Canis lupus familiaris: one gene and its partner. The protein of the gene in region 1 interacts with the protein of each later gene in a biochemical or structural test. Links are inferred from orthologs where the notes say so. Each region holds a gene or a part of one and is shown on either strand. Other genes may lie near its edges. The genes, in order: IQGAP1 and BRAF.

Evidence for each region.
Region 2: the proteins of IQGAP1 (region 1) and BRAF form a complex in vitro, tested with the Homo sapiens proteins (2 studies listed by BioGRID and IntAct). The link is inferred for Canis lupus familiaris from reciprocal best matches to the Homo sapiens genes IQGAP1 and BRAF.

The regions. Positions count from the first base shown.
Region 1 is NC_049224.1:54,213,300-54,221,406, reverse strand, and holds part of IQGAP1 (ras GTPase-activating-like protein IQGAP1), read left to right. Parts: intron 1-2,104; coding exon 2,105-2,268; intron 2,269-3,518; coding exon 3,519-3,603; intron 3,604-4,300; coding exon 4,301-4,464; intron 4,465-4,674; coding exon 4,675-4,835; intron 4,836-6,087; coding exon 6,088-6,212; intron 6,213-8,107. UniProt on the Homo sapiens protein: Plays a crucial role in regulating the dynamics and assembly of the actin cytoskeleton.
Region 2 is NC_049237.1:8,077,570-8,085,676, reverse strand, and holds part of BRAF (serine/threonine-protein kinase B-raf), read right to left. Parts: intron 5,430-8,107; coding exon 5,383-5,429; intron 4,568-5,382; coding exon 4,449-4,567; intron 1,219-4,448; coding exon of another isoform or gene 1,105-1,218; exon of another isoform or gene 1,088-1,104; intron 878-1,087; coding exon 746-877; intron 1-745. UniProt on the Homo sapiens protein: Protein kinase involved in the transduction of mitogenic signals from the cell membrane to the nucleus. Phosphorylates MAP2K1, and thereby activates the MAP kinase signal transduction pathway. Phosphorylates PFKFB2.

The DNA of each region.
Region 1 (8,107 bases):
CTTGGGATTCTTTCTCTCCTTCTCCCTCTGCCCTTCCCCCTCCACTCTCTCTCTCTCTCTCTCTCTCTTTCTCTCAGATAAATAAATACATCTTTAAAAAAAATTCCCTCAAAATTCCCTCAAATAGCTTTCAACATAGTAGGGAAGATAGACATGCAAGTGAGTAATTTTAGGGCAACTTACTTAGAAGGTATCAAAGACATATGAAGTACAGTCACAGAAAAAGAAAGGAGTGATGACAGCTTGGAGGTTTGTGTAAGAACCTTCACTGGATAGATAAGGTGAGGATAAGGCAGGATTCCCCAAAGAGGAACAATTGTTTCCTAATCGTAGAGCAAGTCTAGGCAAGAGAAAGTTGTGTGCTAGCAAGATACAAGAGCTTTAGGTCCCAGGAATTATCTTAACATAATTATAGATAAGATTCTTTCTGTGAGGGCTTGAGAACCGGCATTGAAGCCACTGCCCCAGGAGAAAGCTGCAGGTCAAATAGTTCAAAATGAGAAAAAGTTTTTATTTACTTTCTTAGTAGAACAAGGAAAATTAATTAAAGCCTAATGGAAGAAAGTATTTAAATAGTGTTCTAACCTTTATCATCTTTATAGTGTGAATGTTAGTAAATGTTTTTTTAAATATTTACATATTTATGTAGTAAGTATGCTTTAAAGTAAAAGCATAATTGACTAGATGCTTTTGTAGATAGATAATCTGAGATTCTGCATCACATACCTAGAGAAAGCCTGGTTGTTAACCTGTGTTGATTGTATTTTCTGTCCCCACTCCTATAAAATCTTCACCAAGACAGAGATCATTTGTTTTGTTCATAGCTGTATTTGCAGCACAAAGCAGGTGCTCAGTAAATGCTGTTGAAGGAATGGATAGTTAGTTGGCTAAGGATCACATGGAGGAGTAGCCATCACCTTGGTGTGGTGATGAGTTAGCAGAATTGCAGGTATAATCGTTGGGAAGGAGTGAGTAGTCTCTTAGGAGTCTACACTGAGTCTACAAATCCATAGAGATTTAAAATTTTTCCTTTAACACCTTGTATTCATTTTTTTTTTTTTTACTAATGAAAACATTAAAACATTTAAAAATTTTAAGTGCTGCTATACCCCAAATACTTTGATTTTTGGTATGTTGTTATTGATTTGTTTTGCTACTTTGGTGATAAAAATCAGATGTTCATCCCTGAATGGAGCATGGAGGGAGAATTCTTGTTTTCTAAAAATAGGGAAACAAAATCATACGGTAAGGATCGCTTCCCAGTGGCTATTATTTTTGAAGTCAGAAAATACCTTATTCTGACTGCCAGCCTAATTCCTTATTTATTTTACAACATAAAAAGTGCTTTCACATACGTAATTTTGTTTAATCTTAACAACACTGTGAAGAAGGTGTCTTTATTACTTTCAGATGAAGGAGCATCTAGGTTTTCATTGCCAGATGTTAAAGACCTTGTGTGACTTCAAGTGACTAGAGGTAGAGAGGATTGAGGGTATTAATCGCCTCTACCAATCCCTGCGCTCAGACCACCCTCGCTATCTGGGCACTCACTGTCCTAGTAGAGTGTGTTCAGGAGACAGCTGGATAATGAAGGGATTCAGACTGATGCTGTTAAGAAGGAATGAAAGTTCCTTAATCTGGGGTAGACTGAGGGAAAGAGGGATTGATGTATCCAGGCGTCAACACCAGGGTGAAAACTTTCACAGATTGCTGTGGGAGAAACCTTCTCCTGTTCAGTAGTTTTATCTAGACAACAGCTTGGCATTTAGAGGGAATTTAGACATGTGTTGGTTTTGACTGGTGCCTCATATTGCTAGCCCCATAGTGCTAAGGTGTCTGTATCTGAAAGCTTTTCAGTAGGTCTGAGGCATGCTCCAGGAATCTGTTAACTGACAAACAGTCCAGTTGGGGACCCCTGAACTTGAGCAGTTTAAGGTTCTCTTCCAATTCCAAGATCTTGTGCTTCTGGGATATTCCAGAACAAAGGCCATCTGAGCTATATTTCGCTCTTCTGAAATTGAGGTTGGTTTAGGGGAAGGAAAGTGATGTAAGCTGTGATGTTCACAAAACGTCTTCATAAGCTGCGGCCTTTCCCCCTCCTCAGCGTCTTCTGCATTAGCAAATGTGGACCTGGCTTTGGAGCAGGGTGTGGCACCTGCCTTGTTCCGGGCACTGCAGTCACCAGCCCTGGGCCTTCGAGGGCTGCAGCAGCAAAACGGGGACTGGTACCTCAAGCAGCTCCTGAGTGACAGACAGCACAAGAGACAGGTGAGGATCGTGGGTCAGGCTGGCAGGCATTCACATACAGCTGTTTGAATCTTGTGTTCTTGCTGAAACATATTTGTGGGATCTCTTTTCCCTATAGTTACAGTATAACCTATAGTTTTTAGCATAACTTTCTGCATCTTAATGTAGGTTTTTATAATATCCTCAGGTAAAATACAGATTGTCTTTAGCTTTTGTTTGCTTTTATAGCTGTAAACCTTTTTTTTTTAAGATTTTATTTATTCATGAGAGACACAAGCAGAGGGAGAAGCAGGCTTCCTGCAGGGAGCCTGATGCAGGTGGGACTCGATCTCAGGGCCCTGATCCCAGGGCCCCGGGATCACGCCTGAGCCAAAGGCAGACACTCAACCACTGAGCCACCCAGACGTCCCTGTAAACCCTCTTAAACATAAATACTACCTGCCCTCCAAACCTGACTACCCCTTCACTTGAAGCATCCTTTTTAACCCTCCAATGAAAAGCCCTGGGGGAAAACCTGAATCTCTCCTACATTCTTACTTCAGGAATTTCCTACATAAAAACACACATCACTAGTTTCCTCTGGCCAGCACTGGGAAAGTACTTAACTAATGTGCAGTAAGAGCAGACTGTGTAATTGTACTTAGTGGGGCTGGTAGAACAAACACAAATGGCTTTCTTTTTTGTCTGAACAAGGCCCATCAAGTGCACATTTTGCAGATTCCCAGTATCTATGGCCAAAGCAAACAGTATTAATGTGCTAATGAGGCTGTAAACATCTTATGTCAGTATTTTTTTTTAAGATTTTATTTATTTATTCATATTTTTTTATTTTTTTTATTTTTTTATTTTTTTTATATTTTTTTTATTTATTCATATTTATTCACACAGCTAGAGAGAGAGGCAGAGACACAGGCAGAGGGAGAAGCAGGCTCCATGCAGGGAGCCCGACGTGGGACTCGATCCCGGGTCTCCAGGCTCACGCCCCGGGCTGCAGGCGGCGCTAAACCGCTGCGCCACCGGGGCTGCCCTTACGTCAGTATTTTGATGCTTCTTACAAACTTTTTTTTTTTATGTGCTAGTATCTGGAAAGTCCTCTACCCCAGATTTGGTGAGGGCATTGGTTCCCACTAGGACTACCACTTTCTCTGATGCAGCCTGACACATCCACTTAGGGCCGAACTTTGTCCCTGTGACTGCTATTGAGATACAACTGTAAGGCCTGGAGGCATAGCCATGAGAATCTTTACATAAATGTTCTTTGCTTTTCTCAGGGTGGTCAGGCTGATCCCCTGCAGAAGGAGGAGCTCCAGTCTGGAGTGGATGCTGCAAACATTACTGCCCAACAGTATCAAAGAAGTAAGAGTCCTCTCCCTGAGATACTGTGTGGGGTTAATGTCGCTAGGGCATCTGAGGTCAGATCCTGTCACTTCTCACCCCCACCCCAAGCCTGCTAGCCACAATCGACCAGCAGGTGCCACTAGAGGTGCCCTACCCTAGTTTTAGAGTAGAACTGGAGTCAGTGTGGGCTTACTCTGGCTAGCAAGCACTTGGTCATTGGAGCAGAGTCTTAGGGCTTGATTGGTAAGATCTGGGTGGTGGCAGAGAGAGAAGGATGTTCCTAACCTGAGCAGGGAGGAAAGGAGGTGTGAGCAGAGGTGCCAAAGGTCAAAGATGTTTTGAAGCAACAGCGGTTAGAATACAATATTTGTAGATATTCGGGGTTGAGCTGTGTAAGATAAACCCTTGGAAAGATTGTGGCAGCTTAAGAAGCTGGTACTTGATTCGCCAGGCTACATGGGATGGGAGAGATGCTTTAGAAAGAGTCGCAGGATGAATTGGAGTGGAAAATAGCTTTATTGGGATATAGTTGGCATAGCCTGCAGTTCATCTTCATACAAAGAGGGAGGCTGTTTTTTTTAAAGATGAAAGTTCCACTTCAAACATCATGGCTTATAGTTTATCTGCAGAATAGAACTTTCTTCTGTGAAAACTGAATCTCTTTCCTCTCAGGGCTTCCCAAGCCAGCTGCATTTCTGACCTGTGTTCTGTGCAGGGTTGGCAGCTGTGGCGGCAATCAATGCTGCTATCCAGAAGGGTGTTGCTGAGAAGACTGTTCTGGAGCTCATGAATCCTGAGGCCCAGCTGCCCCAGGTGTATCCCTTTGCTGCTGATCTTTATCAGAAAGAGCTGGCTACCCTGCAGCAACAGAGTCCTGAAGTAAGTCAGCTGAACCTCTCCTGTTTGTGACCAAAATGGGGCAGAAGTGAACTCAACACCTACTTCTTGGTGTGCTTGGCAGAGCCTTTTTTAAAAAAACAAACAAACAAAAAAACAGAAACTTAGACTTCTTATGGCTTAACTGAAGTCCTGACCTCACTTGGTATCCCGGAATGTCCTCATCTTTTTTTTCCTCTCCTTTCTGTGCAGCATAGCCTCACCCATCCTGAGCTATCTGTTGCCGTGGAGATGTTGTCATCTGTGGCCCTAATCAACAGGGCACTGGAGTCAGGGGACATGAACACAGTGTGGAAACAGTTGAGCAGTTCTGTGACAGGCCTTACCAATATCGAAGAAGAAAACTGTCAGAGGTGGGTCCCCAGAGTGGTAGATGGAATCCATTGGACAGCTTTTACTCTGTTGGGTGTCCACACTCCTGTTTTCAGGCATTGTGACTTTAGTATGATGCTTTTTTCCCCCCTATTCTGATTCATTTTATTCTTTATTATGCTGGAGGATTTATAATAAATTACATATATCATGACATTCCACCCCTCAATATGTAAGTATGCTTATCTAAAACAGTGAGGATATTTATTAGGTAGCCAAAATAGTACAATCTCATAGTACAAACCCTGGCAAAATCAATAGTTCTTCTTTAATATGTGCAGACCCTAGTCCATTTTCATACTTCTTCACTAGTTTCGAAACTGTCCTTTTCACCTGATTTCTTCAAACCAGGGTCCAGTGCAGGACTATGTGTTACACCTGGCTATTGTACCCTTTAGGTATCTCTTAATCTAGCATTGTTCCTTTCTTCATGATATTGACTTGTTAAAGAGATAGGACCAGTTGTTCTAAAATGTTCCATCTTCTGGTTCTGGTTGCTTCCTGAGATTTGGCTTATTTTTGTAAATTAGAAATTAGGTGTAAAGGCTTGTCAAGATCAAGTCAGCATTTTTGGTGTTGTGTATTTCATATTTTCTCATAACTAGAGGCATATGAAATTGACTTGTGTCACCATTAAAGATACTAAGATTGATTCTTGAATCCGGGAGAAAGCTTATCCCTCTTATGTGTATTTATGTTTTTCCCTTAGCATAAACTTTTTTTGCACCTTTGTACCATCAAAGTGTCCAGTTCCCCATTACCCATACATAATATCTAAAAAAAAAAAATTTTTTTTTATTTATGATAGTCACACAGAGAGAGAGAGAGAGAGAGAGAGAGAGGCAGAGACATAGGCAGAGGGAGAAGCAGGCTCCATGTACTGGGAGCCCGACGTGGGATTCGATCCCGGGTCTCCAGGATCATGCCCTGGGCCAAAGGCAGGCGCTAAACCGCTGCGCCACCCAGGGATCCCCATACCTAATATTTTTAACCCAAGTTGATAATCCTTGTCTAAATCAATACTTTGCATGAATGAATGACTGAATTTCAATTGCATTTATATTCCAGAAAAATTGGAGGTAATAATAAAATACTTAATGCTGTTTGAAAACAACAAAAAAGAAAAAGACAAAAAAAAAAAAATCAATACTTTTCAGTAAGATTTGCTTAATGATTTTTTTTTTAAAGATTTTATTGTATTTCATTATCTTCTTTGTTGGGGGAATGGGGTAGGTATCTTGATGAACTGATGAAACTGAAAACTCAGGCACATGCAGAAAATAATGAATTTATTACATGGAATGACATCCAAGCTTGTGTGGACCATGTAAATCTGGTGGTGCAGGAGGAACATGAGAGTGAGTAATCTACTTAACCATCCCCTCAGATAGTGAAACTGTTAAAGGTACTGTGATTCCATAAACTGGCTCTAAACATTACTCCCAGAAAGATTCTTGAAAATTTGTGTGTGTGTGTGTGTGTCACAAAAAGCTGAGGTTGGATATTGTTTTTGAAACATCAGGCAACTGCTACAATTAGATATGTATGTAATAAGGACTAACATTTTCAGGAGATAACTTGAACACGATCTGTTATTTTTAAATGTTTTATAACAAGTAGTTATAACACCACCTGGATTTAGGTCATCTTGCATGGGTATAGTGCTCAGTCTTCCATAAGACTCCTCCCATAAGACTCCTCTCATTGGAGACACTAACCACAAGCTTTAAGGAGTTCCCAGGTCACTACACTTCTGAACAATTGGCTATAAATTCAGAATTTCCTTCAACACTCCCCTCAGATTCAATAATTTGCTAGAGTGACTTAAAGAACTCAGGAAATGCTATATTTATGAAGAATATAGTTTTATTAGAAAGGATACAAATCAGGACTGGCCAAAAGAGAAGACCTAGAGGGTGATCCCAAATATAGTGAGGTCCCAAAGACCAAGCTTATGTGTCCTCAGGATGTGTACCCCAACCAGCTCTCCTGAGATTTGGGTCACCAGAGATTTTAAAGAGGCTTCATTACCTGTGAGGAATTGATTGTTGGCCATGTAATTGAACTCCGTTTCCTATCTACCTCTTCTCCCTGGAGATAGGTAGGGTTGGCTGATATCACAATATCATGTTGCTCAAACCCCCAGAATTCTGATCATATGCTTGGTCTTTCCAGCATGATCAGACCCCATCCTGAGACTACCCAGGGGCCCATCTGGGTGGCATATATTCAGGTGTGGTCCTAGAAGCCATGCCTGAATAATCGGATAATAAACAGATAATCAAATTATTTAGGAAATTCTAATGGGGGTTAGAGGCTCCTTCCCAAGAACTGGGGTCAAAAGTTAGCCACATCTTTATTATACCACAGTCTTTACAAAAATAGCACAGCTGCCTGGGATACTTGGGGAGTGACATTTCTAGTTTTAGTTTGTATTTCCTGTGAGAAATATCCATTGATTTAGCAAGAAGAGCCTTGCCTCAGGGTGGGGAGCCCTGGGGTTGGATCTGCTGTTGTCCAGTTGTTTGAAGTGGGATCTCGAAGAAGAAATTTCTAAGCCTAATCTTTTCTTATATAAAAATGTTTAATCAGGGATCCCTGGGTGGCGCAGCGGTTTGGCGCCTGCCTTTGGCCCAGGGCGCGATCCTGGAGACCCGGGATCGAATCCCACATCGGGCTCCCGGTGCATGGAGCCTGCTTCTCCCTCTGCCTGTGTCTCTGCCTCTCTCTCTCTCTGTGACTATCATAAATTAAATTAAAAAAAAAAAAATTAAAAAAAAAAGTTTAATCAGGTGACTTTTTATGATCCCTTAAACTCTTTTTTGTGAATAAAAAGAGTTTTTTTTTGTTTAAAGATTTTATTTATTTATGATAATCACAGAGAGAGAGAGAGAGAGGCAGAGACACAGGCAGAGGGAGAAGCAGGCTCCATGCACCGGGAGCCCGATGTGGGATTCGATCCCGGGTCTCTAGGATCGCGCCCTGGGCCAAAGGCAGGCGCCAAACTGCTGCGCCACCCAGGGATCCCTAAAAAGTGGTTTTGATTACACATTGTGATGTACTTGAAAGCTATACTATTAAAACCAGTTTCATCAAAATTCTCTTTATTTTTCCATTAGGACAATTAAAAATAAAACCAAATACTTGAGGTTTCAATGGAAATATGTATACTAGGGTGTTTATTTTAAATGAAACAAACACTAAAGTTAAAAAAAAATTTAAACGCTGCTTAATATTATAGGTGGCAAATTAT
Region 2 (8,107 bases), on another chromosome or scaffold:
CATTGTTTTCTAATATATGAAGAATGGAACTGCTGCAATGTCTCTATAACCCCCACCCCCACCCCACCCTACACTTTTAAAATCTTGAGGTATACAATATAATGTCAGTAAAGACAATTCCTTTTTCTTAGTCAGTGTTAAGGTCCTGGTGAACTCAACGTGGATGGGATAGAAAAGGCAAAATGCTGCATGAGGCTCTGTCAGGAACTTTGGGGAAGGACAGAGAACAGGAATTTAGAAAGAAGGAAGTAAAAAAAATTCCCTCCTATTGAAAGCCTTAGTATAGAAAAGTGAAAGCATGATACAATGGTCTTTCCATTTACCTAGTTTTAAAAATGGAGAAAGCTTACTAATACTTTCCAAAGAAATGGATATAAAGAAGCACATAGCTGAGTGCCTGCTCAGCACAACCTATGACAGAATAAAAGGCACAAAAGCTCAGATGCCATGGCAGCAGAGCTCCTTCTGGTTGTGTGTGGTCAGGAAACATGGGCGCTCTCCACTGTGGCAGCTCTGGTTTCTAGTCAGACCATCAGCAACTGCATTCCGTGACAACACTGACATTTCAAGGAAAGGCCTTACATGCTGCTATCACTGCCAACAGTCCACCAAAGGTTTCCAAAACTGGTAACAAAGATTAAGATATCCATCCTTTATGCCTACTCTGGACTCAATACTTTTCTACAACAAACTGGAGTCTTTATACAAACAGTAAAATAAACCCCAAGAGATGGTAAATATTTACCTGGTCCCTGTTGTTGATGTTTGAATAAGGTAACTGCCCTGTCATCAATTCATATAGAACAATCCCAAATGCGTATACATCTGACTGGAAGCTATATGGGTTTTTGTCTTGCATTCGGATCACTTCTGGTGCCTATTAGAACACAAAAAGAAAAATATTCTTGTTTATTCTTCAACTAAAAAGACTGAAAAGCAAATGATTACAATTCCCAGAACAATGCTTTCGTCATTAAATAATCCATCTAATTAATATGCAATCAATTCTCTTATTAAGGGGCAAAGAAATAAAACTGATTAATAAGAAAAAAAAATGCTCAGTAAGCCCTGAAAGAGGCAGTATTACCTGAGATTCCACATGTATTATGAAGATTTTATAATTTTATCAGCCATCCTCTTTCTGTACAAAATACTGCCATTGCTATTTGAATCCTTCCCAGGATTAGCTCTATCAAGAATCAATTCCAATTTCCATTCCTGATTCAGTAAAGAAATAAAAGACCTGCAGTCCTAAAATGTTTGGAAGTAGCATAACCACTACGCTAATAATTGCCTTAGAGTTTAAGTTTTCCCATTAGTACAATGATTCTCGCCTCAGGGCACCTTAGACAATACTGGTAAAACATCGACACTGACAAACTCAAACCCCTTTCCTGCCTCCAAAAGCATTATCAATATGCCATGGGTGCTTTATTAACAGAACCAAGAGATAGGAGGTCAATTTAGAAGATGGCATAAAGAATGCTGGCTGTTTGCTTCCTGGGCAAAGATACAGACCAAATCATATTTGCTACATTTTTTACACATTTTACTCATTGTACTCTACCACTTAATTTCTTAATTGGCTGTGTTCATGAAATACAATAAATGGTTGGTTAAATATACGCTTAAAAGAGTTCTTTCCCTTGCATCTTCTGTACTGTTTCATTTGGAAGAATTGTTTCTAAAGACACTGCAGAGTGTAAATAAAAGTTCCATGAAAGCATTATTTTGATACCAAAACCTGAACTAACTGCATAAATGGCTGGAGGACCTGGGACAGGATTCCTGGTCACTGGTCTATCTCAAAAAGCAGGCAATGGCACTAAGCCTTACTTGCAAATCACAATCAACTGTGTAGACTTTTTAACCTCTCAATGTCCAGACTACATACCAGGCCAATAATATAACAACAGAATCTGGGGATGGGATCCAAACATTGCTGGTTTTTACAGCTCCCCAGATGATTTTAATGTCCAATTAAGGTTGAGAACCACTGACAGAAGACGTATGGGAGATCCTGATGAAGGATGGGAGGTGAAGGAGAAGATGGGGTCTGCTTACTTTTTTTGTCAAACATTTTATTGCTAGCTGCTTTTAGTAATACAGTACAAAATAAACCACATACAACTGTGATGTGATGAACAAGCTAGAATACTGAGAGGCTGGTTATGATATAGGCATAATTTTAAAAGCCAGAATACAATTTTGCGAGGGACAGAATAATAAATCAGTTGAGGAACTAACCATCTTTTTAAAACTTAGTTTTACCTCTACTGTTGTTGGAGATGGCTTGATGAAATTTATTTGGACAAGAAATGCATGATTGATCCTCAACTAATTTAGTGATTTAATCTGTAAAAATTTTCACAAAGGTTTCTTTCCCCTCTAAGATAAATAGAACAAGGTTGAGAAGAATTCAGAGAATTACATAATCTTAGTTCTGACCAAACTCTTCTCTACTAGTACACAGATGCTCCGCATTTGTTTCTGAAGGCAATTATCAACCCAAAAGGATTTTTTCAACACGTAAGTGTACTACTAGCTAATCTCTTATATGAAAGCTCAGCTTGATAGAATAAAGGATGAACCAATCTACCTATGTATCAACAAAAAATAAATTAGAATATAAAACTTTGGGTATAATAATCTAGGTTTTAGAAAAAGGACAAACCTGGAGTTTAACTGAGCATCTCCCCCACACTAGTTAAAATAGATACACCTTTAAAACATGTATTGTTTCTTTTTAATTTGAGGTTTTACAGTCTCACACTTAGTGTGTGCTAGCCTGCTGCATCCTAGAATCCACTGCTATCTTATAGCAAGGTGTGTGCCTTAAAGGTGCATGAGATCCCAATTACAATGACTAATAAGCCTCCTATTTATAAAATGATTTATTAAAACAATTAAAATATATTAAAGAAACAAACCTAGTTAGCTCTAATTACTGAATCTTAGGAACAAAAAAGGTGTTAGAAATCCACTAGTCCGACCAACATTAAAGATGGAGAGACATGGAGGTTAGGAAATGTGCAGGTTGAGAGTTAAACAGAGGACTATAGAGTACAGATCTCCTAGGTCCATTGTACCCCTTCCACCTTACCACTTGTCTTTACTCCAGTTATTTTTATAAGAAAGCATAGCTGAATTTAACCCTAAGTTTATTTGACTAATTCACATCTATCCTGGAATTCCCCTCTTGGAGGCTCTTACAGATAGTTCAGGGAATTTATGCAAACATGGCTTCAAGAGCCCCTGCAGCTTCTCTGTTTCCAGCAGAGTGTCCCAAAGCCTTAGTGCAGATTCAATTATTTAAAGCTTCAAATTGCACTACTGGTTAGGGACATCCGGCATTCAGCTGAGAGCAGCGGTTCTCAAACTTTTTGATCTCAAAACTCTTTTAGTCTTGAAAATTACTGAAGACCCCAAGGAACTTTTATGTGGATTATATCTATGGGTATTTCTCATATTTAAACATAACTGGGAAACTGTTAAAATATTTAGTAATTTCATAAGTAATAGCCATTAGATGTTAACAAAGATTACCCATTTTTAATGAAAAGTGTATTTTCAAATCCAAAAAAAAGTTCAGTGAGAAGAGTACTGCAATTCTTTTTGACTGGTTTAAGAGCAGCCAGCTATAGTCACATATTTTGGTTCTGGCATTCGATCTGTTGTGATGTGTTGTTCTGGTTCAAGACTATAAAGAAACATCTGGTCTCATACAGGGATGACCTTGGGGACTTCCAAAAGGGTATTAGGGCCCCTTTTGAGAACTGCTAGCTTAGAGGATGATTCCTATACCTGCCCTTTTCACAGCCTGCTGAAAGTAATGGCACAGAAGTTTTCATTCCCTTCTTTTACACAAAGCAGAAATAGGAATAAAGAAAAAGCAACAAAGAGCTATGCAGGGCAGCACATGGCTATGTTAAAATTCTTTTTTTTTTTTTTATGTCTTTTCTTTCCCAGCTGCCCCATAATTATGGGTTCTTTCTAGTCTAAAGGAAGTAACTTTCCAATTTAGGCTTAAATAACATCATGAAACAGCCTCTCTTAAAAGGAGTAGTTCTTTTAGTAAAACCTTAAGAAATACTGCAGATCGTACCTGCTGAAACTGCACACTTGTTTTTTTCTTTTTGAAACCGGGCACACAGAACATTTTGAACACAAAATATTTTAAAGAGACAATTCTGGATAAAATTTCAACAGTTGTTTATAAAATACTATTTTTTTGTTTGAAGTATACTGAAACTGATTTCATAATACTCTTTTTAAGGATAAAGAAAAAAGTTAAATTTTATTTACATAAAAAATAAGATCAACATTGACTTTTGTGAATACTGGGAATTATGAAAATACTAGTCGAAACCTTCAAAGATTTTCTAGTCACTCAGTAGCACCTCAGGGTCCAAAAATTTAATTAATGGAGAAATGGCCTCAATTCTTACCATCCACAAAATGGATCCAGACAACTGTTCAAACTGATGGGACCCACTCCATCGAGATTTCACTGTGGCTAGACCAAAATCACCTATTTTTACTGTGAGGTCTTCATGAAGAAAAATATCTGAGGTGTAGTAAGTAAAGGAAAACAATAGATCTCATTTTCCTAGCAAAGCAAGCATTACAAAAATGTTAGGTAAGAGATCTAATTTCTGTAATTCTATAATATGATTTTTTTGGTAAAATTGATATTTCTTTAAAAAGTATAGTACTTCATATTTCCTCTTAAAGTTAATGAATATGTTTTTAAAAATATGGTTCTATTTGGCATATGTGACCTGCTTCTAAGATTTTGGGGGCTTGAAATATGATGGGATGAGGTGAGATGCTTTCCAACCTATGTTTATGGGAAACCCTGAAATGTTCCCGTTAGATTTTAGTAACATGGACCCAGATATGCTTTAGCATTTAGGAAAGCTACAAAGGTTCTTCATTGGAATGAAGTTGGTTGACGGCTAGGATCTTGATCTGGGTTTATGGAAGAAGAAAAATTTTGTTTTTTCTCACCTCCTTGTTATGCAAGTTAGAACCTTCAGTTACATTTCAACTACTGCAGAGTAGCATCAGAGCACTGAAAGAAATGGGTAGATAGCTACCTGTTTTATGGGTGTTGACAGAATGTAAGCACACAATCATAAAAGAGTCCTACTATTATAAAGACTTGGTGGATTTTTTTTTTATAACACTCAAATGTTCAGAAACCAAAAGCATGTTGCAGCACCCTGCTTTATACTATGCTCTCATGCAAACCCATTTATTAATTCTCTTTACATTTTTTGAACTTAGCATGAAAACTGTTTTTACATAATGTGAAGACAAAATGCAGAAGAAAAAGTCAGGATGTTTTCAAACTTCGCAGACAAATTTCAGGAAGGATACTATTACTCTTGAGGTCTCTGTGGATGATTGACTTGGCGTGTAAGTAACTGAAAAACAAAACATCATTTCAACCTGAGTAGGGGTAAAGACTCTGGCCTCAAAATCTATAGAACATATTTAGGGATGTAAATAAAGACTTATTCAAAATCATGACACAATTGCAAACTGTACATTGTGATAACCTCTTTATGTAAGAAATCTTAAACTGTAAATGAATTTAGGATTATAGAAACATATTACTATTATGGTAGAGCCCAAATCTTGTATTCTATTAAAAGACTTTGCTTTATACTTTACTATTTACCAATACAAACCTTTCATTCCAGTCAAACCTATTTATCCATGTCCTTTAAATACACCCTGATATTTAATCCCACCTGTGATCAATACTTCCCTTCCAAACCCATCCCCAAATTAACTTTCATTCTATTCTCCACCTATTCATACCTATCCTTTAAGATTGAATATACATTCTATCTTCTGAATAAAGCTTTGCTATGACTAACTCAACCAAAAGTAATCTTTCACTGTTGAGTTATATCGTAATTACTGTAATAGCTTGATTCATGTATTCTTTTTCCTGTGCCTATGGTTCCCTTTTCAGAATGTAAACTCCACTAGAATATAAAATCTGATTGATAATTTTAAAAATTTTTTAAAAGATTTTTATTTATTTATTCATGAGAGACAGAGAGAGAGAGGCAGAGTCACAAGCCGAGGGAGAAGCAGGCTCCATGCAGGGAGCCCGACATGGGACTCGATCCCAGGCCCCCAGGATCAGGCCCCGGGTTGAAGGCGGCGCTAAACCGCTGAGCCATCCGGGCTGCCCCTGATTGTTAATTTTAAAGGTAGTATTATACATTCTTAAAATAACTTCTTAAAAATACGGAGCTTTATCACACATGTTAATCATTTAGTCTTAAAATTAGTTAATAATGGCCACAGTGAATAACTCCATTGTTGATTAGTTTAAAATAGCATATAAGAGAAAATAATGCAGAATAAAATAAAATTTCTAAACAAAAATAGTGAGGAGCAAACCTGCTACATAATATCCACAGTGCATCTATCTTATAGTCAATGGTAAGTTTAAATTACCTATGTGAGCCCTAAAAACTGGTTTAGTTGGGTTCACTGAGGGTAAGGGCTGTGCCTCCTTTATTTCTGTTTCAATCTCCAGTGCCTAGCACAGAGCCTGGCATGTGGTAAGTGTTCAACATGTCTGTTGAATCAACTACAACGAAATGCATATAATATCCTAGTCAAAGCTATTTTTCTTCATTTAAAACTGGAAAGAATAGATATATGAGACTTCTAAAATTTGACAATGACCATTAATTAGGAAGTAAATTTTGCTTTAAAGTGACACTTTCAAAGTCCAAATAGTATATAATCAAAATTATGTAATAAACACTGTTAAAAATTGAAGATTCATAACAATTAAACTTTATTTATGCTTTCTCTTCTTCATTTATACTTCCTCATTCTCCCAGAGATCAAGATTTTGAAGCTTTCTTCTCAGATAAAATTTTCATTTCAAATGATTTATACAAAGGAACCCCTTCTCCTCCAATTACTCTTACTTCTATGTTTATTTCCTCCATAGTATTTACCACACTCTTGTCCCACTACATCACATGGTCTCTCTTACATTGGAAGAAAATGTGATGTCTGTTATAGGTGTCATTTGCTTAAAAATTTTTCTGCAATGACACAGAATGATACAGATGGAGAACAGGAGCCTCAACCACAAGCTTTTTCAAGATAGGGAGACCTTGTCTCCACTAGAGAGGAAGGGTAACAAATGGTGATGCTGTTCAGTGGTGGAGCTTGGTGCTTTGGTCTGAGACCTGGTACTTAGTGCACATAATAGGTGTTAGTCTTTGACAAAAGATTCTGTCTCCTTTGAAATTAAAAACAACAAATAGGTGGTAGATATGAATATGTGGAGGCATGATGAAGTTATAAGGGAAGATAAAGGTGTTCTTGATGGTATCAATCTTTTCAACAAATCTGATACAAAGAAATATATCAAGAATAAGGTAGACAGAAATCAACTAGAGGGTGAGGAGAAAAAATTTCTCACCAGGAAAGTACTAGATAATTAGCAAGATATGAGTACAATTACTGAGCTAGTGATAGAACCCTACTGGAAGGTAGATAGCATAAATTTATTATAGGCTAAAGTTGTATACAGCTGCAACTTGAAATAGCACCACCTTATCCTTGTGTAATCTTATCTTTTATTGTTTACAAGCTGCTTTCTTAACTTCTATCTCATGTAATAATTCTCTTTCTGTAACATCTCTGCCACAAAACCAGTGAAAAGGCAGAAATCCAGGTCTATATAATGGATGGTTTGAAAAAAAAAAAAAAAGGTACTCAAATTCCCCAGATGGAAAAATGGAATGAGTATTATACCCCATATCTCTACATGATATAATGTTCCAGAGTAATTACTACTCTATATAATTCTACATAGGCTGACACTAAAACATAATTTCTAAGCAACAATGAGTTATAATCAAAGATGCCAAAAGACACATAACTGAGGGTATGGAAGGAAGGGAACAATAAGAAATTAACTCATATGATACAGAAGTATACCCATTATTTAAGGAAATTAAATAGGACCCCTTTCTTAACTTTTCTAAGATGTTAAAGAGAACCTTATAGATTTATAAAAGTAGCAGTAAGAAAAAACATGCTATAGGGATGCCTGGGT